Linked DNA regions of Mytilus edulis. The protein of the gene in region 1 purifies or fractionates together with the protein of each later gene. This does not show direct contact. Links are inferred from orthologs where the notes say so. Each region holds a gene or a part of one and is shown on either strand. Other genes may lie near its edges.

What was found. Proteins that work in one complex are often made in the same cells at the same time.
Region 2: the proteins of condensin-2 complex subunit D3-L-like (region 1) and structural maintenance of chromosomes protein 4-like purify together in Homo sapiens (co-immunoprecipitation; 3 studies listed by BioGRID and IntAct, with this or other methods). This does not show direct contact. The link is inferred for Mytilus edulis from reciprocal best matches to the Homo sapiens genes NCAPD3 and SMC4.

The regions. Positions count from the first base shown.
Region 1 is NC_092350.1:38,287,505-38,294,682, forward strand, and holds the start of condensin-2 complex subunit D3-L-like, read right to left. Parts: upstream 3,007-7,178; 5' UTR 2,968-3,006; coding exon 2,904-2,967; intron 1-2,903. Other genes in the region: 2-amino-3-ketobutyrate coenzyme A ligase, mitochondrial-like, read left to right, coding at 5,464-5,509, 6,737-6,951.
Region 2 is NC_092346.1:88,614,504-88,622,279, reverse strand, and holds the start of structural maintenance of chromosomes protein 4-like, read right to left. Parts: upstream 3,025-7,776; 5' UTR 2,956-3,024; coding exon 2,883-2,955; intron 1-2,882. Other genes in the region: UDP-glucuronic acid decarboxylase 1-like, read left to right, coding at 6,113-6,194. UniProt on the Homo sapiens protein: Central component of the condensin complex, a complex required for conversion of interphase chromatin into mitotic-like condense chromosomes.

The sequences.
Region 1 (7,178 bases):
TCATAAAACAGAAGTTTAACATAATTTAAAGACAAATAACACAGTAAAACAATCATTCATAATATTGAATCACTTTATAGGTTTTAAAAAAATACATGAAAATTAATCTGAAGAAATATGGTATTGTAATTCTGATTTTATTTAGTAGATAACTATCGAATTAAAACATTTGGTTTTCATTTAGAATCAAAGATGTATGTTGCATGAAATTTGCAATTTTAATTCATAAAAACCATTTTTTAGTTGTTAATGTTTGCCCCCAATTCTTTCTTCAATGTTTTACAAACAGGTACACAACTTCTTGTTGTCGATGCTGCAAATTGTTGATTCCTAAATATGCGAATTTTAAGCATGGTGACTGATGCGAATTTCTTCTTTGTTGTAATGTAGGCCAGCTTAGGTGTTCAAGCATGGCTGTTACACTGCTTTGATACATTTGTAGCTGTATTGATTTAGTATATACCTGGCAGCTTTTCTCTGTATCATTTCAATTTTTTTGTATTTGTTGTTTCTTCCATGGGGGCCCAGACAACACTACACTATTCTATTTTTGGTCTGACATACGTTTTGAAAGCAAGTTCTTTTGTTTTTATGCTGATCATGATAAAAGTATCACAAGACTTGTAAGTCTTAAACCATTACAAAAATTATTTAATATAGACTTCTAATATTGATGCAACACTTGACCTGCAAATTTATTTGTGACACTTGATTCTGACTTAGCATTTTTTATTGTCCAACATTTAACTTTCAAAGCAATTCTTTGTGACGTTGGATATTTTCTATTGTGATGTTTAATCATTTTTTATAAAAACTTTAGTGATTCTATTAAATTAGGGGGCATATATGCAGTCTGTGCCAAACTGTTTTTGGGTTTGTCTGACCAAAAGAGAAATTTTAAGTTTTCTACTATATATTCATAAAAAAAATCTTTAAAGTTCTATCTAACCGAATGATTTTTGTCTGACATTTTGGTCTATATCCTTATTCTATCCTGTCATTTCCATTTACGGGAAAGAATGAAATGGCATATATATTTAATGTTGTATATCATGTAGCGTGAAATTATGAATAAAGGAAAGACTGCACTGCCCCTATTTACCTGTATTTCTTACATTATTAAACGAAATAAACTTAATTACTAATTAAGGTCAGATCACTAATATCGTTTTTTTTGTCATTAGAGTTATAACTTTTATTACGAAATAAACCAATATATAGATTGTACCATATTTATTGAATGTGTATGCATAATACGGCATAAAATGAGAATCAGTAACTGTATATACATGTATACAAACATATCTTTAAAGACAAAGATTAAATAATAAATATCGTTTATTTCGTAATTAGAGTATTATAAATAAACTTTGTTACGAAATAAACCGATATATAGATTATAATATATTGATTGCATTTATTCATACTATACTAATACAGAATAGTTTAAACTATCACGTATTTGGCATCACAAATTGAATTTTCATATTTCTTTCCCCCCCAAAATATCTTTACCCCTTTTTTATAACATCTCCCCAAAGAAAACCCTTTCTTCAACTTTTATATAGATTAATTAATTATTCTTTTCTATCCCGTAATAAGATACACATTTCTTATATGAAAGACACTTTTTTTTATATAGAAATCGTCTTCTATATCATGTATATATATATACTGATCCTCATTCTATCCCGTATTTGATATAAAATGACACTTCTTTATTGAAATCGTCTTATATATACTGATCCTCATTCTATCCCGTATTTGATATAAAATGACACTTCTTTATTGAAATCCTCTTCTATATCATGTATATGTAACAGGCTATTATTTGAACTTGGAATTATTTTTAATTATGGAATTTGCTTGATTTCTTGTTAGTGAATTTTTTTATAAATTCCATGTTTATTCTGTACTGAAATGCTCTGTGCTGCGCACAACACTTTCTATTACAAAGAAAATACTATATTTTCAATAGAATGTACTGTGCCGCGCACAACACTATCTAACCAAAATACATTGTATGGAAAGTTTTATTAACCGCTCAAAAGATTATAATACCACATTAACATGGAATTTATTAAAAATTTTAAACACAAGAAATTATGCAAATTCCATAATTAAAAATAATTCCAAGTTCAAATAATAGCCTGTTATATACTGATCCTCATTCTATCCCGTTTTCAATATAAAGATACTTTTTTATTGAAATCGTCTTATATATACTGATCCTCTTTCTATTCCGTATTCAATATAAAAAGACACTTCTTTATTGAACACTTTTTTAATACAGAAAGACACTTTTTTTTTTATTGAAATCGTCTTATATATACTGATGCTCATTCTATCCCGTATTTAATATAAAAAGACACTTCTTTATTGAAATTGTTGAATATTACGGGAGAGAATAAGGATCAAAATAGTACACATCTTATGACAGATATAAAATAAAATCTTTTCTTTATTCATATAAAAAAATAGCGTAGTTTATATTGCAAACCAGCATTTTTCTTCAATCCCATACGGGATAAACAAGATATAGCCACATTTTGTTAGTAGAAAGAGTTTGGGATACACTGATATATATATTGATAAGGGCATTGTAGCGAAGGCGCAACTTCAAGCTTGTTGACCACAACAAAGAAGTCTCTTTTGTATTTTTAGTGCAAACAGGGCCATTTAATCTAGTATTTGACATTTTTTTCTCATAAAACCAAGATCTTAATAAAGACTTTTGTATTTTATTGCATCCACTTCGTTCTTGAAATGAAATATCTATAGGGGTCTGGTTTGTGTGTTACGTTTTCTAGCTCTGAAAAGAATTTAAATGTTTCACAAACGATTTCTTTATACGGATATTTGTATTTAAGAGATCTCAAATACCGTTATTTTGAATTGTTTACCATTTGTAAAGTTTTGTAAGGATAATTTTGCAAAAACTTCCAAGGTTCGTTCTAAGTCCGCCATGTTTTGAATTTTCCGCCAAACATTTACTTCCGGTATATTCTAAATCGGGACCGACTGACGGACATATGTTTCGGAAATGATCAGAAAAATATTACCACCTTCAAAGCCCTCCCTACCCTCAGATGAATTCAAGATAAAAATTTAAATCGTGATCACTGGGGAAAAAAGTTTTTTATGAGTTTTAAATTAATTTTCTAAATTTGAAAAAAAAATTAGATTTTTTTTACAAGAAAGAGCGTTGAGATGACCGTATTGAAAATGATTTTCTTGAAAAAGCAAATGTTTCAACCCTACAAATGAGACTCATCAGGACACCGGCACTTGATATTTGGCTCATTTATGTTTACAAAATTTACATCATTTTAAACAAGCCAAGTTAACATTCATTAAGATATAAAAGCAACATCTTGGAAATACGACAGGTTAGAACTACCAAATACTGAGACCAAATATGATGATAAATCTAAGAGAGCGATGTCGCTGATAAAATGAGAAAAAGGACAGGACCACCATGAGGTGTATTCGAATACTTGTTTTCTAATTCAAATACCTAATCAAAATAAGAAGATTTGGTATGATTGCTACTGAAACATATCCTCAGCAGAGATGAAATGACTTAGAATTTATCAACTGTATATATATAGAGAGAGAGAAACTAAGGGGGACAGATGCATTTTCGACTGTTTTTCATAATTTTAACCGATTCAATTTAAAAAAAAAAAAAAAAAGGAGAGGACATTGACCCCTCCTTTACAAAATGGCATTAGGTTTGATTACATATGACGATTATTTGTTCCAATTTTAATGAAAAAGTGAACGATGATGGGTTTTTTTAAATTTGATAAATATACCTTAGAAAATGCCGTTTTTTTCCCTAAAATCTTGAAACTTTGTTAACACTGATTAAGCATATTTATGTAAAGAAGACTTTCATATTTTTTTTTACCAAAATCCACCTGTGTATAGCTGTTGGTATTTAAAAACAAGTTAGGTGTGTCTATCCAAAGGATAGAAATGTTAAATAAAGACCCGAAATTTTGAGTAAATGGTCCGAGAACACAATTAATTCGTAGTGCATTTCTTTTAGAACATAAATGAAAATAAAAAAAATCCCACCTGCGCTTTCTCAAAGAAACTTTTACAGTGTGTTGTACTACTTTTGGGACAAATTATATCAAATTTATAGAAAACTTCATCGCCTCTAACTCAAAATATGGCCAATTTTATGTTTAGGGCGTCTTGAAATCTTTTGACAGCTTCCGAAGTGCTCATTTTCAACCTTTTTCAGCTGGACCAAATCACTACTTTCCTTTAAAATTCTGGACCCAAATTTTTTTACAGTGTAATTTCAACCCCCTTCTTGCAATTTGAGGCAGTGAACATGGAGAAATAAATTTGGAAGGGGTATAAAAATTAATGGCAAGTAACCCACTGTCAACACTAGGGACTATATTTGTGAACAACGAAAATCAAGGGACGACAATGGTGGTCTCGGACCAAATGTCTAAAATTTCAACTTCTTCTTTGTCTTAAAAGGCAAATGTTTGTAAAAAAAAACACCTATTTCAAATTATATGGGGAAACATTGACAATATCGACAAAACGAATGAAAGAAATTGGCTCAGGGTGATTACTCTTGACTACGAAGAAGTGTCTTTCCAACTTGCTGTAAAATGCCATGAATATCTGACCCTGAAAGTTTTTTAAATCTTTTAACTACAGACTGCTCTGTATGCTGTATTTTTGTGATAAAGAAAATTCTGTAGTTTCCTAAAACCTTGTGAACTTTTGACAAAGTTACAATGCCAAAACAAACCCTATCACTATCGTGAATCCATTTACTATATTTTAACAGGACATTGAATTCCCCCATGTGCTGATGTTATATTCAAAGCTATACATGTCACTACAGGGAACACTTGAAGGAACAGTTAAGACTGAGACCGGCACAACTGACGGAACAACGAGGGTTGGTTAAAAAATGTGTTTATGTTGAAAATGCACACCTTTTATTTTCATCATATGTCCTTTATATGGGTTTATTAACACTAAAAGCATGCAGTAAGCCCGTTTATTCAAAGACATATGCAACTTACCATATGCTTTAGTTTTTATATATATTGTTATCTTATCTTACAAATCACAAAACAAAACTGCCTATCTAACTTAAAAAATTTACAACAAAATAAATCTACGCATTCTTTATTATTTGATACAATGAAAAATCATTATTAAATCATTTTTTTATATAAAAATTTGAAGAATTCATTCTATTTTCCAAGTAGAGTTGATTTCACTCGACTTCGCATGTTTGAAAAATCCCCTACAAGTAAACTCAATGCGCAAGTCCAGACTTTCCTTTAATGACAAGTAAACGAAGCGTTTCAAAGAACATGTAGTGAACCATAAATAAAATACATATTTAGATATTCCTTTATCGGATTGGTTGAATGTCACACACCTCTAACAGGCTGTTGTCATTAACCATATTGTGCAATGGAAAAAATCGGGGATTTTGTACTTAAAATATCTAAACGTCATAGTAAGTCTATATTATATTTTTTTAAACATTAACATTTCAAATTGTTTATATAAACCATAGGGTAGTCAATAATTCTTTAACTTGTAGATTTCCACAATCCCTTTACCTTACTCGTGCAGAAGTTAACAGAACGAGATGTTGACGGTTAACAGTTTGATTCCGAGTCCCGTTTCGCATACAAAATAAAATCTATAGCGTTAAAGTTTTTTAATTGCACAAACTGAAACTTTCATTTAGCTTTTTTCACGTATGCACTAAAGAACGCATATATGCAGGACTTGCTTTATATACATATATGTTAACCTATAACATTTTTTCCAACAGATGTGGTGTGAATGCTTTTTCTCTTCTTATTTCATATATAGGTTTACGTACATATTTGGGCAATTTATACACTACATTCGAGTATAAAAAAACTTGTAATTTTATAACCAAGGTCAACATGGAATTTAAATCACAAGTCACAACAAAGACATTTCTTAATTACTTTCTTTCAATGCTTATTCATTCAGGGATTTATAAAATAGTTCTAACATTAAATAATATGAAGTCAGAAATGAAAATAAATATTGTATATTTGTATTTATATCTGTCAACAGCTGTCAAACGTTTCATGCTTGTTGGACAGGATCGCTAAATCTGACACAATATGTTTTACCTTCACTGAAAGCATGGAATAACATATTGTGATATTTTCTTCTACACGGACATGGAAAAGTTTTAAATATTCGTAATGGTTGAGTAGACCTATATACTATATATGCATAAAGCATGCCACTATTCATAAAATACACAACTATTATGTTTTATTCGATAAAAATATGATCGTTATATTCCGGACCGCAGATGATGTAATATCTAACAAACGGATATAAGCGAAATTTAGCGTAAAAAGACAGGCAATTAGTAGAAACAATGGTGGTATACCGACATTTAGCCAGTGCTCAAATAAAGTTATGGGTGTCTCTTGGCATATCTTAACAACAAGCAAATAATGCTTTGGAAAACGGAATCATTCAATCATTGCACAAAACCTTAATTAATCGACTATGCATACTTCCAAATCTGATGAAATACATGCATTGTCATTTTGTTTCTATTCCTTCCCATGCATTTATCATTTAGCAACTTAATATGAGGTCAAACCAAATTGTGTTGAATCAATCTAACATGTAGAGATAAATAAATGCATGAATATTATTCTCAAATACTAATTTTTCTCTTCAGATCATCGCGCTTTAAAATATTTTACAAGAAAGAGATCTACACAAGCTGCAGCTGCCGTACAACAAGATCTGCAGCATGAACTAGAGGGTATAAAAGATGCTGGGACGTGGAAGGGAGAACGTGTCATCACATCTAAACAAGGCCCTACAATTCACGTAGCAGGATCTCAAGCAGACATACTCAATTTCTGTGCAAACAACTACCTTGGTTTGTCTGTACGTAAATTGCATGATAATTAAAATTATAGAAAAAGAGGATATCAGAAATCACAAAAAAGCGGTAGTCGTTACAGACTATACCAGCAATCACAACTGATTTCTCAGCAGACAGACAGACAGTCAAACAGACAATTAAACAGACAAACAACGAACAGGACACGGTCCAAATAGTATGACTTGTCACTTACACACAATGTGTTGGGATTATACCTGTTTTAGTTGTG
Region 2 (7,776 bases), on another chromosome or scaffold:
AGTGGAAAAAGCCTTTATTCTCCACTAATTCAAGGCAAACAATATCACTGGTTCAGGGTATGGTAATTTACGAAAAAAGTAATCTCACTTCGTACCCCGAAAATTTAACCACATATGTGAAAATGTCACAGCTTCGAAACGAGCTATCATACATATCCAAGTTTACGATATGGACTGAGCTACAGGAAAAAACGTTATCATTACTGCCTATGTAAAAACAATTAAAGATATTCGTGATCTCCAGATGTCAATAATAAATTATGTATATGAACATGTAGATGTAGAGGAAAATTTCATCTTCTCACTGACTGTTGGACTTTCCTTAAAAAAATATGAGAAATAAGCAATAAGAAAACAAACTTGCTGACTAGGATTTCCGTGTAAACAAGCTTAGGATCTAAATCAAGGTAATCAGTCAGTCAGCAAGAAAAAGCAGCTGGCTCACTAAGAATTCATAAGTGATTTGCCAGATGGAGATACCCAAGTTACCATGGTTAATAATATATCAATGTGCTAAAAATTACTCATCATTTGACAGCAATAGGTAGACTCGTACATACTAAACAGGGCCTTGTCAAATAATTAAGGAGGCTTTGAATTAGGTTATTTCAGTGTTCTCCCCAGGATTTTTTAAGGCACAAAATTAAAGGGCGTGTAACCCCTTTTATAGTGAACTTTTTGTGATCTGAATCAATCAGTCATAAATCATAACATGCAATATTGCTTTGTGTTGTGTGTTTAATAATGCAGAGTATTATTGAATTTATACAAGAATATACTATATGAAATAAATTGATTTTAAACACAAAAGTTATTTATATTCAGTCAATTAAAGAAGTCAAAATATAAATATTCATCTCTGTACTCTCTGCTACTTCTAGGGATATTGTTTCAAGATAGTGTTATTTTGTTGGACAGTCTGTTCCTCAATGTTGTCTTAATCCTCTTCAGGGTTGAAAACCCCCTCTCATAATAACTTTTGCTTATACCCCCTGAACATTTCTAAGCCATGAAAACTCAGTCAGTCACTTGTCACTGAAACCAGAAACATGGTGCTTGCTGTTATCACTTGCTAAAACTTAGCTCAGTTGGGATTAGGAGAAGCATTTATAACATCTGCTTATACTGACAGCTGAGTGTAGAGGGAGGTGTATTCCCCTTTTCATAAGAAGTCATTGATCTGAAAAAAACTTCTACTTCCATCATGTCTTTTGCTTTGATTTCACCCTTTGTTGTTTGCAGAGAACATGTTCATTCAGAATTAATAAAATCGAATATGGTTAAGATACCGTAATTGGTATACAACTTTAAAAAAAAAATATATTTTAATGAACAGCTGACAAGTTTCGTGGTTTCCGTAGTTTGACATTTATTTACGCTTCCGTGTGCATTATTGTTATAATAAAACCTATCTTTGGCAGGTAGATATAAACCAAACTTCGTTAAAGTTAAAACCATTGGAATTATTTACTAGTGACATTATACAGAAGCCGCGGCGATTCCGTACCCGTGTTGATTGTTATTTCTTTAATTTCTGCACTGAAGTTTTTAATTTTCTTCTGAAAATATCTATCTTCTTGATGATCATTTACACTATTAGTCTATTACATGATAACATAGTCCGATAAGGCTGAGATAAGCCTGGCTCAGGTAAAACTATATTATCAGATATTGCGTAACACTGACCGTAATACAGTGTATTGAGAGTGCAAATAAGAACTTGGAAAATTTAAATTGGTTAAAAATGGGTTTTCAGGATTGGGCTTCCCTTCAGTGTTTTACACAGTTCAGAGGCCTAAAACTTTCAAAAAAAGTGTAAACCCTCAGACATACAACTTATCATAAATGATTGTAATTATCTTTGAAATATGCATACAAATGACTACATTTTGTACTTCCAGTTGCAGGTCAAATAGAAGTAAAAAATCAGTAAGTTCTTGGATTTTTTTTGTGCAATGACTTTCTTTAGACTGCTGTACCCAGATTAGTTTTACTCTAATCCAAAAAATGTTGTTTTTTATGGGTTCACTTGGGTCCACTCTACATGCGACTACAGCTGGAAACATATATATCACCATCCCTCTATACTATTTCAACACCTGATGACAAACTTGGAGCTTCTTTGTATCATGAATGCCAGTTTTGATCTTGGAGTATAATGTTCTTCGTGCAAGAGCCTAAGTAGTGATATCCATTAATTGATCTTTATATTAGCAAACATTTTTTTTTGGTGCTTACCAGAAACATATCTATAGGGGTTTCATTGGGGTCTAACCGTGATGCGGGACAGATTTGTTTTAAGTGAAGTCCTGTAGGACACGGGAAATTACATGCACCATTATGGCAACGTGAAGCAGGATACAGGATTCTCACTAAAAAATTAGCGGGATCTGGGTTGAGACCCCTCCCTCCCCAAATACATGTACACCTTATTGCTCTTTGTCGGACTTGACACAGGTTACTGAGGTACCTAAAAAAAAATTGACGTCATGAAATAATCTGACACCACAATGGACAAGTGATTGTTGTATGACATCTATTGTCCACGCAGGACAGATTCTTGGATCAGCTGGGAATAGCATTAAGGTGTATAATACTCCATCTATACTGTTCTATATCTCAGCCTTGGGCGAACGAACCTGGATTCTGCATGGACGAAAATGGTCTTTAATTTTAAGAATCCCTGCTGTTTTATTTTTATACCAAAAGAAGCAAGATGGTTATGATATGCTTTATAATGTATGACAGCAGCTGGTGAAAAGACATGAACTAGAACTTCTATAAATTTTTGATGACATTTGATGATTTGTGATGATTTGAAAAATAATCTGGTTTTGAAGGTTGATGTGTTTTCTCCTTTTGTGTTTTAAGACGTGAACTACCTGTTTCAAGATTAAGCGTTCTTTGAGGAGATGTTTCCGCGTTGGAGGTCGCAACTTCCATTTCTTCTGACATTTTTAAAATTTTGTTGTTGTTGTAAATCTGAAAATGGCGCCCAAAACAAATTTTGTAAGGCAGACAGGCATGGGTTGCACTAATGACAGGATGATTGCCCGGATAGTGACAGGACGGTTGACCGGACGACATATAAATAGTCATAACTTTTTTGTTATCCGATAGATTTGTTTAATATTTGTAAACCTGAAAGATATTAAACTATATTTTATGAATATAAAAAAAAAGAGGAAAAATAATTATTTTTGAGCAAAAAAAGTTGACCGGACGGTATTCACACTCGCCAATATACGCTAAATATATATTCAACTGGTTGACGACAAGTGTTAATATCTCTTTTGTTTTACAATATTTGTCCATGAAACTCAGGAATCTGTGAGATTTATAAATATATTATACGAAAATATAAACTTGATTGCAAAAAAACGTGTTTTTCTCAAAAAAAAGTTGACCGGACGGTATTCACCCTCGCCGATATACGCTATATATATATTGAAATGGTCGACGACAAGTGTTAATATCTCTTTTGTTTTACAATATTTGTCCATGAAACTCAGGAACCTGTGAGATTGAATAATATATTACACGAAAATATAAACTTTAGGGTAAAAAAGAAAACAAATCTGCAAAAAAAGTTGACCGGACGGTATTCACCCTCGCCGATGTACGCGTTGATTATATTGAACTGAGCGACAAAAAATGTAAATATTTTTTTTGTAAACAATATTTTTTCATAAAACTGAGATATGTGCGAGATAAATAAATATATGATATGAAAATATAAACTCTATGATAAAAAAAATATTTTTCTTCAAAAAAAAGTTGACCGGACAGCTAACATTCGCCGATATATGTTAATAATAATAAATTGATTGACATAAGTGTTAATATTATTTTTTTTACCATATCTGTCCCTGAAATTTATGAACATTGGAAATGAATAAATATATTATACGAAAAATTAAACTATATATTTAAATAATAAAAAAAAAATTAAAAAAATTGACCGGACGGATTTTACATTCAATCGATATATGCCTTAATATATTGAACTGATCGACACAAGACTAAAATATCTCTTCTTTGGTTATAATATTGTTAATAGCATATTATTAAATATCTACTATTTCTGTTTGATGTAATACATCTGTATGCATATAGACAATAGACCCACTGTCCATTTTGATATTTTGTCTACTGGTAAGTTGTACTAATATGATGGCTATACAACTGTCTTTAAAAAGACATGCCTTTAAATAAAGCAATATATAGTAGCACTAATATCAATCTGTTTACTTTTGTATTTATAAATATATGTTTGACAACTGTCTTTAAAAAGACATGCTTTTGAATAAAGCAATATAGATAGTAACACAACTATCAATCTATCTATATCAATAGTTCAATAATGAATATATATTGAAAATTGTCTTTAAAAAGACATGCAAAAAGCAAAATATAGTAGAAATATAATTTGTGTGATCTGAACTGGTTGAAAGTCAGAGCATAAATGACTGAACAATTGAATAGTTATTATTAGGTGAGTTAAATGTTAATCTGAAATCCTGAACTTCATAAAATTTCTTCTTTAATTGGATACTAATTACCAACTGATTATAAGGTAATTCAATTAAATGTATTTGATGTCTCAGGTGTGAAAACTTTAATGACATGTTATTTGGCTTGATTGGTGATTACAACAAGTGTCAAAATTAGATTAATTTGATTAAATATCATTACTTCTAATATGCATTGGTGAACTCGCTCACATAAACATTTTGGGCTCATTGTTTTTACTTTAAAGTTTATTTTTCTTGTAAAATATTTATCTAATCTCACAAATTATTTCATTTCATGGACAGATATATTATAAAAATGAAGAGATATTAAAACTTGTGTTGATCAGTTCAATATATTTAAATAATAATATCGGCGAATGTTAATTCCCTCAGATCAACTTTTTTTTTTAAGAACAACATTTAACATATTTGATATAAGGTTTATATTTTCATATCAAGTACTTATTGATCTCTCAGATTTCATAAATTTGATAAAATAAAAGAGATATAAACACTTGGGTCTACCAACTTATATTAAGGCATATAACGGCGAATGTTTGTTCCGTCCGGTCATCTTTTTTTGAAGAAAAACATTTTTATTTACTATAAAGTTTATATTTTCATATCAAGTATTTATTGATCTCGTAGATTTGTTAGTTTCGTGTAAAAATATTGTAAAACAAATAAGATATTGACACTTATTTGTATCAGTTCAATATAATTAACGCGTACATCGGCGAATGTGAACACCGTCCGGTCAACTTTTTTTGGAGACAAACTTTTTTTTTCACTATAAAGTTTATATTGTCGTATCCAATATTTATTATTCTCACAGATTCCTGAATTTCATGATAAAATATTGTAAAACAAAAGAGATATCAACACTTGTCGTCGACCAGTTGAATATATATATAGCGTATATCGGCGAGGGTGAATACCGTCCGGTCAACTTTTTTTGCAGATTTGTTTTCTTTTTTACCCTAAAGTTTATATTTTCGTGTAATATATTATTCAATCTCACAGGTTCCCGAGTTTCATGGACAAATATTGTAAAACAAAAGAGATATTAACACTTGTCGTCGACCATTTCAATATATATATAGCGTATATCGGCGAGGGTGAATACCGTCCGGTCAACTTTTTTTTGAGAAAAACACGTTTTTTTGCAATCAAGTTTATATTTTCGTATAATATATTTATAAATCTCACAGATTCCTGAGTTTCATGGACAAATATTGTAAAACAAAAGAGATATTAACACTTGTCGTCAACCAGTTGAATATATATTTAGCGTATATTGGCAAGTGTGAATACCGTCCGGTCAACTTTTTTTGCTCAAAAATAATTATTTTTCCTCTTTTTTTTTTATATTCATAAAATATAGTTTAATATCTTTCAGGTTTACAAATATTAAACAAATCTATCGGATAACAAAAAAGTTATGACTATATATATGTCGTCCGGTCAACCGTCCTGTCACTATCCGGGCAATCGTCCTGTCATTAGTGGTTCCCGACAGGCATTGGTCAAAATGCTAGCTTCCGGTTTAATCTTGATTATCTTCCTTGTTAGAACACCGAGAGAGGAGAGAGACGAATATGAGATTTAGATATCCATTTAGAAATTGTACAGTAAAAGACAAGTTCATGGCAATTACACTGTTTGGTCTCATCTTGATAGGTAATTTACATATAACAGTCTTATATGATTTTCGTCCCAACTTTAATTTCAACCTTTTAAAAATATTCTTTTCAGATGCAAGATGTTTAGGACCATAGATGTAATATCCATCTTCATCTTGGTATTACATCTATGTGCGGACATACTGCAACTGGCACAACTTGAACTATTTTCGGACATACAAAATATATTATACAATGTATAACTTCTCCTTGACGGGAAGATAGATAGATATTATATTCTATTCTCTGTTTTCACAATTATGTACATTTTTTTGTAAATCAAGTCCAAAAGACAAAGGGAAACTTGACTATTGTTTAACCAAGGCCAAAGGTAGTCCGATCCACGGCCCTAGCTTGTCTGGTAAAACAGCTGTTGGACGTCAGAGTAATCTCAGACTAAGCCAAAGGTTATTAGAACAGTAGAAAGTCTTTTGAATCACACCAGATGCATACTGATGTACCCAGACCGGAGTTTAAACTAGAATGGGTACTTTGGGGGCCTTGGTTGGTCAAAGTTGTCCCCCTACTTTGACCTGGAGATCAATCTTCTGATATCTCTCTGGTTTGTCTGTTTCCACCGAGTGACCCGGTTGTTCTCTCCGAGTACTTCGGCTTCCTCCCCCATAATAATAGACTTCCTGGTGTCCTAGCACTCCCTTTGTGTTGTGTGGGGATTGATTGTCCTTGTAAAAATAATTGTCGTATAAATATACGTTAGTGACATATCTCCATTAATCCCGTTAGGGAGTGTACATGGATGCCACTGTACCCTCGCAGCTTTCGAGGGGTTCTTCGGATATCGGAGGCATTTACCTGTACATACATACATACTGAGGTCCGTTAGTAAGGGTACAGTAGTAATGCCCTTAGCCGTTAGGTGTCAAACCATCATTTTCTGCTACTGTTAGCTTCAAATAGGTTAAAATTTTACAATGATTCCTCAAAATATCCTTGTCCAGATTTCTCATCAGTCTCAAATAATTATCGTTACTGTTAATTTTGGAAAAAATTTACCATTATTTGTCATGATGATGCCCCCATTTAGACCTACCATTATAATAACAAATCAATTTTCTATGCCCTATAATGGGCATTTATATGTTTTCTGGTCTGTGTCTCTGTCCCGCTTCAGGTTAAAGTTTTTGGTCATTGTAAAAGTAGTTTTTGATGAAGTTAAAGTCCAATAAACTTGAAACTTAGTTCACATGTTCCCTATGATATGATCTTTTTCTAGTTTTAATGTCAAATTAGAGTTTTTACCCTATTTTCCGGGTCCTCTGAACATTTTTTTTTTCGTATAATATAAATTTTATTTATAAAGTATTGTGATAAGACATGTACATGTAAAAACTGTATACGGTTATTATAACATGTATAACTTTTAAATGTATTTATATTTATTATTATTTTCAAAATGTTCATTTAATCTCAAGTGTTAAACAAGCTGAAAAATAAAATGAATACTAATGAAAATTATGAGACCCACAAAATGGAAGATTAATTTCTGTCATAGTTAAATCAATAAGTAATCAGAAAATTATGAATTCTGAAATTGAAAAAAATATAATATTATCATTTTT